3 linked regions of the Xenopus tropicalis genome follow. The protein of the gene in region 1 purifies or fractionates together with the protein of each later gene. This does not show direct contact. Links are inferred from orthologs where the notes say so. Each region holds a gene or a part of one and is shown in the gene's direction. Other genes may lie near its edges.

Evidence for each region. The genes of interacting proteins can lie anywhere in the genome.
Region 2: the proteins of ep300 (region 1) and fus purify together in Homo sapiens (affinity purification with mass spectrometry; 4 studies listed by BioGRID and IntAct, with this or other methods). This does not show direct contact. The link is inferred for Xenopus tropicalis from reciprocal best matches to the Homo sapiens genes EP300 and FUS.
Region 3: the proteins of ep300 (region 1) and rbbp4 purify together in Homo sapiens (affinity purification with mass spectrometry; 4 studies listed by BioGRID, with this or other methods). This does not show direct contact. The link is inferred for Xenopus tropicalis from reciprocal best matches to the Homo sapiens genes EP300 and RBBP4.

Annotation. Positions count from the first base shown.
Region 1 is NC_030680.2:115,931,381-115,935,144, reverse strand, and holds part of ep300 (histone acetyltransferase p300), read left to right. Parts: coding exon 1-549; intron 550-3,764. UniProt on the Homo sapiens protein: Functions as a histone acetyltransferase and regulates transcription via chromatin remodeling. Acetylates all four core histones in nucleosomes. Histone acetylation gives an epigenetic tag for transcriptional activation.
Region 2 is NC_030685.2:6,034,297-6,038,376, reverse strand, and holds the start of fus (RNA-binding protein FUS), read left to right. Parts: upstream 1-1,280; 5' UTR 1,281-1,323; coding exon 1,324-1,336; intron 1,337-4,080. UniProt on the Homo sapiens protein: DNA/RNA-binding protein that plays a role in various cellular processes such as transcription regulation, RNA splicing, RNA transport, DNA repair and damage response. Binds to ssRNA containing the consensus sequence 5'-AGGUAA-3'.
Region 3 is NC_030678.2:90,312,103-90,316,316, reverse strand, and holds the start of rbbp4 (histone-binding protein RBBP4), read left to right. Parts: upstream 1-1,414; 5' UTR 1,415-1,582; coding exon 1,583-1,598; intron 1,599-1,774; coding exon 1,775-1,922; intron 1,923-2,546; coding exon 2,547-2,692; intron 2,693-4,214. Other genes in the region: zbtb8os (protein archease), read right to left, coding at 1,242-1,338. UniProt on the Homo sapiens protein: Core histone-binding subunit that may target chromatin assembly factors, chromatin remodeling factors and histone deacetylases to their histone substrates in a manner that is regulated by nucleosomal DNA.

The DNA of each region.
Region 1 (3,764 bases):
AATGGTGGAGATCTCAGTCAGCTACACAACAGCATGAATATGGTGCCTGATGCAGCTGCCAAGCATAAGCAGCTTTCTGAGCTCTTGCGTGGTGGAACCACCTCAAACATGAGCATGGGCCTTGGGCAACAAACATCACAAAACAGCCCAGGAATAAACCTACTGAACAGCATGGTCAAAAGTCCCATGAACCAAGGAGGACTTACATCGCCAAACATGGGTATGGGAGGCAGTGGAAACACTGGACCAACAGCTCAGCAGATAAATCCCACGTCAGCAGCAGGAATGATACCTGGTGTGAATAGCCCTGTAAACCAGCATGGCATGGGCATCAACGCAGGAATGATGACAGCTGGAAATGGACAAAGTATGATTCAGGGTCAAATGATGAATGGGTCTGTTGGATCTGGTAGAGGTCGTCCTAACATGCAGTACCCCAACCCTAACATGGGCAATACAGGCAACATTCTTGCCGAAACACTTCAAGGTGGACCTCAAATTGGAGGACAGCCTGGTATGAGAGGTCCACAGCCAACAGCCATGAACAAGGTGAGAGACCTTTTTTGGGGATATTTTCTTTTCATCTTAATGAATATATAAGAAAATGGGTATTTCCTATATTTATTAACATGTAGGACAGGTAATGACAAAAGTAAGAGAACTCCACAAAACTAACTTATCTGCTGTATTTAAAATTGCTTTTGTTGCCAGGGTGTATGTGCCCTGTCAAAAATTTGTCATTCTTTGTAGGAGACATAAGTGTTTTTTTTTTTATTTGAATTTTTTTCATTGTGCAAAAAAAAAAAAATAAATAAATAAAAAACAATTTTTGCTGTAAGCATGGCTATTTGCAAATACGGTCACAAATACATTTAAAACCTTTTAATTGTGTTTAAATGTATATCTAAAAGTTGTTTATAATTTCATATTCATTATGCAAGAAAATTTTAAAAGGGATGACGTTTATATATGCACCTGTTATAACTGACTTTTCAGTTACTGTTCATTATACCTTTTAAATGTGCTTTAAGTTCTTGGTCACTGATAATGTGGATAGTAAGATCTGTAGCAGTTTATAAAACACTGGCCTTATTTTATGAATGTGTTGGTCGACTTTTTAAAGTGAAACTTGAAAGACAGCAATTTTGGCAGTAGTAGTTTGATACATTTCCATCAGGGTTTGGGAGAGTGCTTTATAGTTCAGTGAAAAGATAAAAAGATTAGCAAATGTAAAACATTGTTAAAAATAGTGTTATATAGTGTTTAAGTTTGTTACATCCACATATTCTACCTCTCAGTGTTTCAAAGTTTTTACATTTTGGTTCAGGCAAATTATTCATCATACATATACAGAAAAAATGATACCACCCAGCTGAATACAAATATCCATTTAAAGATAATACAGTTTTGCCATTTCTTAGTGCTGCGTAAATCATTCTTACCTCTTTTTGTTTGAACAGCTTGAGATGTTATTTATATATTATTATTTATATATTATTAATATCTTGTGTTATATACTTGTAGAGATTCTTGATCACTTTCTTCCATAAGTTCAAATGTTGTGGTTTCTTACGGTGATACAGAGCTATAAACAGACTTGCTTATATTGGGGCATAATTTGTATTCTTCCCTAAGGGTAACATCAGATAAGTGATATTACTGATTTGATTTGTTAGTACAAACAACTTGCATCAATTAGAGAAATGTAGTTTTTGTAAATACACACTCCATGCTATGAATTGCTGACACATTTTAGCATGATTTTAGCATGAGCCTGCAGTTTGCAGTGCACCATTGAAAAACTGTGTGACTGAGTTGTTTGCAGTAGGTGGAGGAATATGGTAGAAATCTGGCTAAGAAAGTGCCAGATAGTAGTTTAGGGAATAGTACATGAGTTTGGCTAAGCATTCCATGCTCATGGTGGCCACACACAGGCCAATAAAAATGTGGAATTTTTCCAAAACTTGCTCTTCCAAACCAAGTTGGCATCTCAATGGCTTTTGTATGTGGCCCTTAGGAGTCCTTTCTGATTGATATTGACATAGCATTGTCAAGATAGTTATTGGGCATGTTAATGCTGATTTGTTGGTGCGGTCTTTGTCTGATAGGTCTTCATAGGCCCACTACATCTCAATGGTTGGTCCACTGGCAAATGATCAGATTGATCCATTTTCTGGGTTGCCTGAGATCAGCTCATTTGGCCTCCCAATTGAGTTAATCTGAAAGTGCCCACAGCTTATTAGCTCATATCATGCCAGGGATCACCAGGTTGGACAAGTGTGGAAGATCTGTTGTAGAAGGCCTAAATTATGTGGGCCTCTCTCTAGTGGTGCCTGCACAAGGGATGTGTTGTTGGCCCTAGGCCAACAGTCTGATTGCTCGTTTGGCCTATTGTCGATGAGCAGAGCTTTTGGTAAGACTGTTAGTCTTGATGAGTGCCACACCATTTTGGAATCTTTAAGTATTAGTAGTAGTATCCACTAATACTAATAGTAATCTATTAGTATTAATGGCTTGATTTAAATTTTGCATTACAATATGCACTTGTGCACAATAACAAATAAGTGTACAATGGTGTGTGATTTAGGTGCTGGTGGCATCTGGCTGTAGCAGCTTAACTACAATGTTTTTGACTGGACTATGAGGCTTAGTAGTGTAGCCTACATGCCACGTGTATGGTAGCATGGGGACACGGTATCCTATACACTACACCAGGCAGCTCCAAAAACACTACTTTGGCAACTGACTTGACGCTTGCCCTTCTGGCTGCAACATATTTGTATCATGCAGGATTCCACTGTGACTACAGAGACTTTTCTTTGTGAACTAAGATACTATTTGACCAGAAGTCTGAGAGGGACATCTATGTAATTACTATGGTTTCTATAAACCTAGGCAGTATGTAGCCATGTTTCAGGTCAGAGCTGTTCTGACTGTAGTGAGAGGATTATTCTAGGGTAATGGGATGTTGTTCCTACTGAGTTGATGGGATGTTTCTCCATTTATTTGGGAAGACTTTCCCATTTTAATGTCCTAACTTGCTAGAGATAAATAGGTACAGTGGAGCAGTTTTTACTGTTGTGTGAAAGCTTCATTGTGTCCTAAACCTGTCATATGCAAGGCAATGCTGCTTGGAGTGTGCCGGGGAGGGGCAGGCTGAATTTTAAGAGTTGGGGGTGGGTAAGACTTGCACTTACATGGGGGAGGGAGCCATGTTACCTTTTGTTCCCTTTTCTGGACTGGTGCTTTGCCATCTGCTCTCTTTACTTGGGTCCTGATTTCTTAATAGGCTGTGGCCTTCTTCCTTAAGATGTGTATATTAAATGCATCCATGCACCATAGTTTTTTTCCGGTAAAAACTACATACAGAAAGCACTACATTTAAATATAACAAAATATGGGCAATAAAATAGAGTAATTTTAAACCCAGAACAATTTGTGCAATTAAAAAACCCCACAAAAAGGCAGGATGCTAGCAATATCTTACAGGTGTCTGTATATTAACAATTTAGATGTCTGTTTAGGGATCCAGCAAAGTCCTAGTACTTCTGCAGCATTTGAATTTGCTTGGCTGCCTTATTGCAGCCATACAATCTTTTCTGATGTTTTTCCACATATGTTGTGCAGGCTTCTTGATAGGTAATGCAAAGAAGTGTTTTGATTTGTGTTCTGTATTCATATGAATTCATATTTTGAGGCAGATTTAGAATTTATATTGTATCTTATTTATTTTATGGAAGTTTTGTCCTTACGCAGCAGAGCAT
Region 2 (4,080 bases), on another chromosome or scaffold:
AGATAGATGATAGATAGATAGATAGATAGATAATAGATAGATGATAGATAGATGATAGATAGATAGTAGCAAGCTATCAAGACTTAAGGAAAAATGAGAAACAGATGAAAATAGACAGACATATGGAACAGGGGGCATTGCTTGCCTGAAACCCCCATGCTCAGTTCACACATCACAAACCGCTCCCCCCCCCCCCCCATCTCTCAGTCCACTCAAGCTCTTGCTGCTCATTCCTACCAATCAATCCACCTCTGATTGTGCCCCACCACCCCAATTGCACCCAAGGCACGTGCCTCTGCTGCCTACCCCTATCTCTGGACCTGCAATAAATGACAGATAATATCAGATAATGCAGGCATATCGGGCAGCTGCCCAGGGCCCACGTCTCGAGAAGAGCCAAGATTGTCTAGATTATCTAGATTGTAAGCTCTACGGGGCAGGGACCTTTGACTCTTAACTTATTGCAACTGTATCTTTTATTTATTGTTATACTTTGTATTTATCTCTTATTATCTTAATAACCCCCTGTTTGTATTAATGTATTCTACTGTACAGCGCTGGGTACATAAGTAGCGCTTTATAAAGATATACATACATACAAGGGACAAAGGTACTTCTGCACTATTCAGCCATGAAGCTTGGGGGGGGGTAGGAAGCCTCAGCTAATAGCAAAGGTGGCCATACATGCTAAGATTTTTCCCTCCCTAACGACCAATTTCACATTTAGCGATTTTTCATCCAACATTGGTCAGAAAATCCATTGGGCAGGTTTGAAAGCAATAAAATTTGTCCATTGTCCAATTGTATGCAGGGAAATTGTCATTTTCAAACCTGCCCAACTAAATCTGGGCAAGCCTTCTTATTGCAGCATGATGAGGACAATGTATGGGATAAATATACTGATATTGCGGTCTTTGAAAGGAATAAAAAGGGCCCCAACATGACATTTTCATCTGCCCCATCAACTAAGATGCATCTCTCCCTTCACACATCACTTCATAGAATGGCCCCTCCGCCATACCATTCACATAACATACCCAGCACAGCAAGAAGCAACTATATATGTTGCCTCTGCTTTATAGTGCTTCGGGTAAAACTTTATTGACTTCACAAAAACATAACAGAGTTCTGTTTTAAACTCGTTTATCCGGTATTTTAGCCGTCGCTACCTTTCCTCCTAACCACTCCCCCTCTGGTGTGCGTAATGGTTTGTCCCGAGTGCATATAAAGGGCTGCAAGTTCCCCGCCTTAGCACAGTGCGCAGCGGAGGTGATATATCGTGGTTACTAGGCGGTACTTGGAGAACATCAGTGATACCGCAACATGGCCACCAACGGTAAGGAATTACTTGACGTTCGCCCTTTGTACTCGGCTGCTAGTTTTGATATTTTTGTTTCGCGCTAGTTGGGGGCTGTGTATGTATAGTCGGGCATAGTGTATAGGCTTTAATATTTGTTATATGTCTTAGGGTGCGAAGCAAAGTAGTACTCAGGATTAAGATACGAGATCTGCTCGTTCTTTGGCGCCATTTTGCCTTATGTGTATTTTTCGTTGTTTCTATGTATCCGGTATCGCGGATATGTTACTATGCGTGCATCTTGTAGGCTTTCCCCGTTGTATCGGTCCCGCCGCTTCTTGGCTCCTCCCACCATTGTGCTGAATGCGCAGCTGGCAGCCATTTTGTAGCCGCACTGCGCTGCTTTCGCCATTTTGTATCCGGGCGGGCTGGGCGTGTGGGGCACTAATGCGTGGCATTCTGTCCGGATAAACCTTCCCAGAAAACGAGTGTTTTGTGTAGTAACGTTATAAGAAAAAAATCTTGCCTCTGGAAACCATTATCCGTGGTTTAGGGGGAGGGAATCAGTATATTGGTCAATTGCCCACAGGGCAGAACATGAATAAGTCTCTGTAGGGCTGGTAAATGGCTGCAACACTGCTGCCTGGGGGATCTTTAAGCAGATTTAACTAGTAAAGTAAATTCTTGGCTGAGACATAGGGTAAGAAGCGGGTAGATATATATATGTGTGTGTGTATGTGTCTACATATATATATATATATGTGTGTGTGTGTGTGTGTATGTGTCTACATATATATATATATATAGTATACAGGGAGGAGCACACCCTATACAAGTCCAAATGCCCTTGGTGCAGGTCAAAAAACAAAAATATAATAGAAAGAGTGCCGCACACATAGGGACTTGATACAAAAGAAAAAGTGGTTTTATTGAAAAAATGCCAACTTTTCGAGCACAATCTGTGCTCTTCCTCAGTTGGTTTGTCCCTGAGGAAGAGCACAGATTGTGCTCGAAACGTTGTAATTTTTTCAATAAAACCACTTTTTCTTTTGTATCAAGTCCCTTATATATTATATCCCTTATATATTATATATATATATATATATATATAATATATATGTGTGTGTGTGTGTGTATATAGATAGATATATAGAACAAAATAAAGCACACCCTTAAAGAATTCAAATGCCCAAGGTGCTGGTGCCTGCACACACAGGGACTTTACAAAAAATCACAAATTTATTAGAACAAAAAAAGTCCAACGTTTCGAGCACCTACTGTGCTCTTCCTCAGGGACAAACCACCTATATATACACATATATATATATATATATATATATATATATAATATATATATATATATATATATACCGCACTCGCAGGACTTGGTGAAAAAATAAGATACCTTTATTGTGAAACCACGTCAATCTAACGTTTCGGCCGGATCCTCAGCCTTTCTCAAAGTATATATATATATAACAGTGGGCCGCACACACAGGGACTTTGCTGAAAAAATAATAAATTTATTTAAGAAAAGAAATCCAACGAAACCTGGGTGCTAGTACCAAAAAAATGCACTGGAACAAGGCCGGCACTCCTAATATTTAAAGAATTGTGAGCAGTGTAAATATTGAAAGGTTATTACTCAACGTTTCGGTCTCACACAAACCTTCATCTTCATCTGGAGAAAGCTTCAACCTTCACTCCAGATGAAGGTTTGTGTGAGGCCGAAACGTTGAGTGATAAACCTTTCTATATCTAAATTTTGCTCACAATTCTTTAAATCCTAAGAGTGCTGCCCTTGTTCCAGTGTGTATATAATATATATTTTACCCCGCCCCCCCACCCAGGCTTCTTGTATAGGAAACTATGGACCTCAGTGACCTTGTTGTAGTTCCAAGGCCATTAAAGGGACAATAGAGACTTGTGCCCTGTAATTCCATGCACTGGTCTTGATTTAAGAAAAGATCCTGTTTTAATTTAGTGTTGGGTGTGGAAGGAAAGTTTTCCTCACAGGGATTCACTATTTTTTTGGACTATGGCCTGATAAGACTATAAACTGGCCATACATGGGTAGACTTAAGCTGGCCATATATGCACCAACAATATCGTACAAAACCTCGTTTCGTACAATATTCGGTTTGTGTGTATGGCGGCTCGACGAGGCACCCGATATTGCAAAAGGCTGCGGATATCTGTCGACTTGTTGATCGGCCAGGTTAAAAGATTTGTCCGATATGGAGGTAGAAACAATAGAAATTCTACCCCCTTCTGCCCTGAACTGATTTTGCTTTTGTACCTTCAACGGTACCCAAGCAAAATCTAAGTTCAGGGCAGAAGGGGGTAGAATTTCTATTGTTTCTACCTCCATATCGGACAATTCAGCCCTGAACGTCTGTGGACGATCTTTGGTGCGACCGATGGCATTGATGTGCCCCTGTCTGGCCTTAATTATCCAAATAAGGGCCAGAATATCACAATGTAGTTTTGTATGATATTTGGCCTGTGTGTGGTAAGTTTTGTACGATTTTCAGGCTGTGTGGGCTCTACATTATCACCACAATCATTTTTGTACCATGGTGTTCGGTTGTTTAGTCGATCGGACAGGATAAAACATTTTGGTTGGATAAGGATAAAATCTGTGCATGTATTGTGTATGTGCCGATATCCTTGGGGGGCCTACAATGGGAGTCACTTTCATACGGTTGGTGTCTGCCAACTATTTCATGCCCAGAACGCCCTCTGATATATTTTTAGGATTTTATCCTATAATTTCAATCTGC
Region 3 (4,214 bases), on another chromosome or scaffold:
TAATCATTTTTAATAAATAGATATTGGAAAGTTACTTAGAATTATGTTTTCTTTTATAAGGCAAAACATTATTTTTGGGGTTGACATGTCCTTTAAGATACTTACCTCAACATGGCTTAGATATTAACAAGTGCAGCTATTTTTTTATTATTACAGAAACAAAAAAAAGCAAACCACTCAATCAGTATTTTTTAAAAATTTGCATTCTTGTATTAAAGAGCCTTCTGGATAACTAATTTCTGTATAGCAGATTCCATATCTAATTACGAGTGGGCGATATCGGGCTAATTTGATCGTTTGGCCCAGGGGCCAAGCGATCAAATTAGAGCTATGGGTATAGGCGCAGTCGTTGTTAGTGCCCATGCATGGGTTGATAAGCTGCCAAAGCTTTACTCATCAGGCAGAATATAGATAGAGATAGGGTTGCCACCTGTGTGACTTTGAACCGGACAGAATTCCAGCCAATTGCATAAGTTATACAATAACCCTGCCCCAGGCTCAAAACCCCACAGACATCATTGTGCCCACCTCTGATGTAATTGTGCCGACCCCCAATGCCAGCTGCCCAATCTCCTTTGTTCGGGCTTAACCCCCACCTAGGGTGGCAAACCTACATGTGTTGCCCATTTAAGCCACCAATATGTGGTAACATGACAACGGTGTACGACAGATAGAAACTGGTAATAAAAGTAAAGTTATCCCAATATCCATGTTCACTTAATGTTCCGACAAATATCAGTCAAGCGCTCCTGAACTTAAAGTTAGGAAACTTCAGTGGCGAGATACACGACTACAAACGGCTCATTCAAACTCCACTAGCAGTTGCATTAGCACTGTAATATAACTCTTACATTCGTAGTTCTTGTTTACGGGTGGGTACTTTGCCTTGACAGCAACCTGCTCTTCACTTATTGTATAATAGCGTTCGTCCATCTTCTCAGGTGCGCAGCCTCAAGCCTATTAGCCTAAGCGTCTTCCGGGAGACTGGGTTCCACCAGCCTGTCACGTGTTCCCGGCTGAAGCAATTGTAGAAGGGTCCATTTTGTTTCACTTCCGTAACTAGAGATGGCAGTGTGGTGCCCGTGTGAAGGTGCTATCAGGGCAAGTTGGACACTCCTTTTTCTTTCGGTAGCTTATGGCAGAAATCATAACATTAAATCGTTGGGACAGTATGTGCTCGTTAATACCAACACAAGGAAACCTTCCTTGATCACATGACGCCTACAGCATCACTGCCTTACCGGCTGTTACTTCACTTCCGTGAATACGGTCCCTACCGACTGGCACCACGTGACGTCCCATGCACTCTTGACTGGCGCGCACTTGGTAGACACCCATTGATGACGTAAAGTGTCTTGATTGGTGATCTATGCCGTTTCTGCTACGGTTCCTATTGGGTCTTGTTGGCGCGAAGGTGTGCGGCTCCGAGACACGGGGGAGGCGGGAAACAATAGCGGGAGGAACAGGCCCGGGCACTGAGGGGAGGAGTCAGGGGAAAAACCGGGGAAACGTGAGCTAAGTTGAGGACTCTAAGAGCAAGTTGAGTCTCGCAAGCGGTAAAGTCTCTGCTCCTGGATTTACTATGGCTGATAAAGAGGGTAAGTATGAGCCGAGAGTAAGGGACATCCTTTTGGTACTAGTGATTGAGGTACGCGGGAATCTTGAGGGCATTGAGATGTGGGTCCTTTACTTCGCGTCTACCCGGTATACTTGTGAGAGGCAAATGCCACCTTTCTTAAAGTGCATTCTGACTCGAGTGTTTTTATGTGCGCAGCTGCGTTTGATGATGCGGTGGAGGAACGAGTTATAAACGAAGAGTATAAGATATGGAAAAAGAACACCCCTTTCCTGTATGATCTGGTGATGACCCATGCCTTGGAATGGCCTAGCCTGACTGCCCAGTGGCTCCCAGATGTCACAAGGTGATTCCCATAGTAACACTTCTTTTTTTAACTTATTACTAAATCTTATACTGTATGGAAAATATAGCTTTAACTATCTGCAGTTATGGGGACTGGAAAGCTGTACTCATTTCGGGTTTCTTAGTGCTGTGGAACATTAGTGTGGATCTTGCATTTATTTTCAATTGTAAAAAAAAGTTGTCTCTGTGTAGATAACTGATAATAACCAGTGCCAGTGTTTGGAATTTCAGCCCCAGCAGTAGATGCTGAATAGTTTAGTCCAACTTCTGCTTCACAGCTTTTAGAGTTCATTTCAAAGTCTGTATGTTTCAATTAATTAAAAGAAAAATGGAGAAATCAGCTATTTTCAAACTGGTACTAGAATATATTGCCAGGATAACAAAACAGCTGAGGGACTGAATTGTAGACATTTCTGTATATGGAAGGTTTATCAATGGTGGTATAACCTAAAAATGAAAACTGGCGGCACAGGCTTTTTCGCTGTAGCCTTCATACAAGTTATGGGTGCTTAACCAAATTCTGGAAGGAAAATGAGAACTTCTGTTCTCATGTATTATAAGAGAATTGTAATGCCATTCAAAGATAATCTTAGCTTTCTTGTTGCATCTATTTTTGACTTGACAGACCCGATGGAAAAGATTTCAGTATCCACAGACTCGTCCTTGGGACACACACTTCTGATGAACAGAATCATCTGGTGATTGCTAGTGTGCAGCTTCCTAATGATGACGCTCAATTTGATGCATCACACTATGACAGTGAAAAAGGAGGTAAGATGGGGGGGTGGTTAGTGTGACAGTGCTCAAATTCGCCTTTGTTCTAAAGGTAAAATGGTGTCAATATTATTGTAATTAAAAGCAGTATTTGTCTCCTCCAGTTCTTAAACAGTGTAGCAGGATCCAGTTCTCATCAGCTGCTTCTACTACATTCTTTTAGCAGTCTGAGCCAGTAGTACAGAGAATGTAAACTATTATAATGTTTTTAATAGCAGTTACATTTACAAATAGTGTAACGTTTTTTACGTATATTTCTGTCAAAGCCAATTATACTTTCTTTCATTATACAAAAACAGTTTTTGAGTCAAGGGCCATTTTAAAGTTTAATTTTCTATCCTCACATGTTGCTCAAGAGTAACTTGTTGCCAGCCTTTTAAACTCTCTCTCTCTCATGTATCACCATGTCTCGTGTATCTGTTTTTAACTTTAGCTGTTTCATTGGCTGGTATATTCCCATTCTACAACTATTGTAGCAAGTTGTAGCAGTTTACAGAGCTTTTACAACCTGGTTTACTGAGCTGGTACAGGCAAACAGAGAGAGAAATAAGGGGAGTGTATCCTTAGGGCTGTGGCACACAGGGAGATTAGTCGCCCGCAACAACTTTCCCTAAAATGCTATCCCACCGGCAAGAATGTAAATCTCATCTTGTTGGGATGGCATGCGCGGTGCCGCGAATTCCCCAAAATCACGAAAGTTTCCTCTCAAGGCAATTAGTCGCCCACGACACAGGAGATTTGTTGCGGGTGACTGATCTCCCCGTGTGCCACAGCTCTTAAGGGTGAAGAGACACAGAGCTACTAGTAGCAGCTACTTGTCTGGCTACTAAAGTAGATCATGCTGATTGTTTACTGATAATTGTCTCTCCTTGTTTTAGCAGAGGCAGTTCCCAGTATTGTCTATGGCAGAGTATTTTCTGGAGTTTACTAGCCATGAAAAAGTAGCTCCTTGTGTGTTCACCCTAAAGCAAATAAAATAAAATAGAAAGCAATTTATCGTATCAAACAATCTTTGTTTTAAAGAAACTGTTAGTGGTTTAACTAACTATAAAGATGGACATACATAAGATTCGATACATAAGGTTTGCTTGATTGGCAAATAAGTGGATCATTTCCTGATATGCGCACCTAAGGTGGGCGATGTCATGCTAATTTGATCATTTGGCCCCAGGTCAAATAATCAAATAACAACGAAGATGTCATTTCTAACTTCCCTTTCCCATTCAAGTTAAGCTGGTCCACTTTGCTATTTCAACATTGTATTCATTGTATGAAGGTCTTGATACAAGTAATAACACAAATTCATTGTGTAAATCTATAAGTGCATACACTGAAATAATGTAGACATTTGCCACTGTGGATTTAAAGCCTATTGAATTCATTGGGACTTTTATTTCCTTAGGTTTCTGCAGAAACACAGCCTTTTTGACAGGTTTTACTCACAGCTACATCATCCTACCAGTTCCCCACATCTGTATATGTCTGTGTTTAGTCTGTGTTTTACTGACAAATTGGTTTG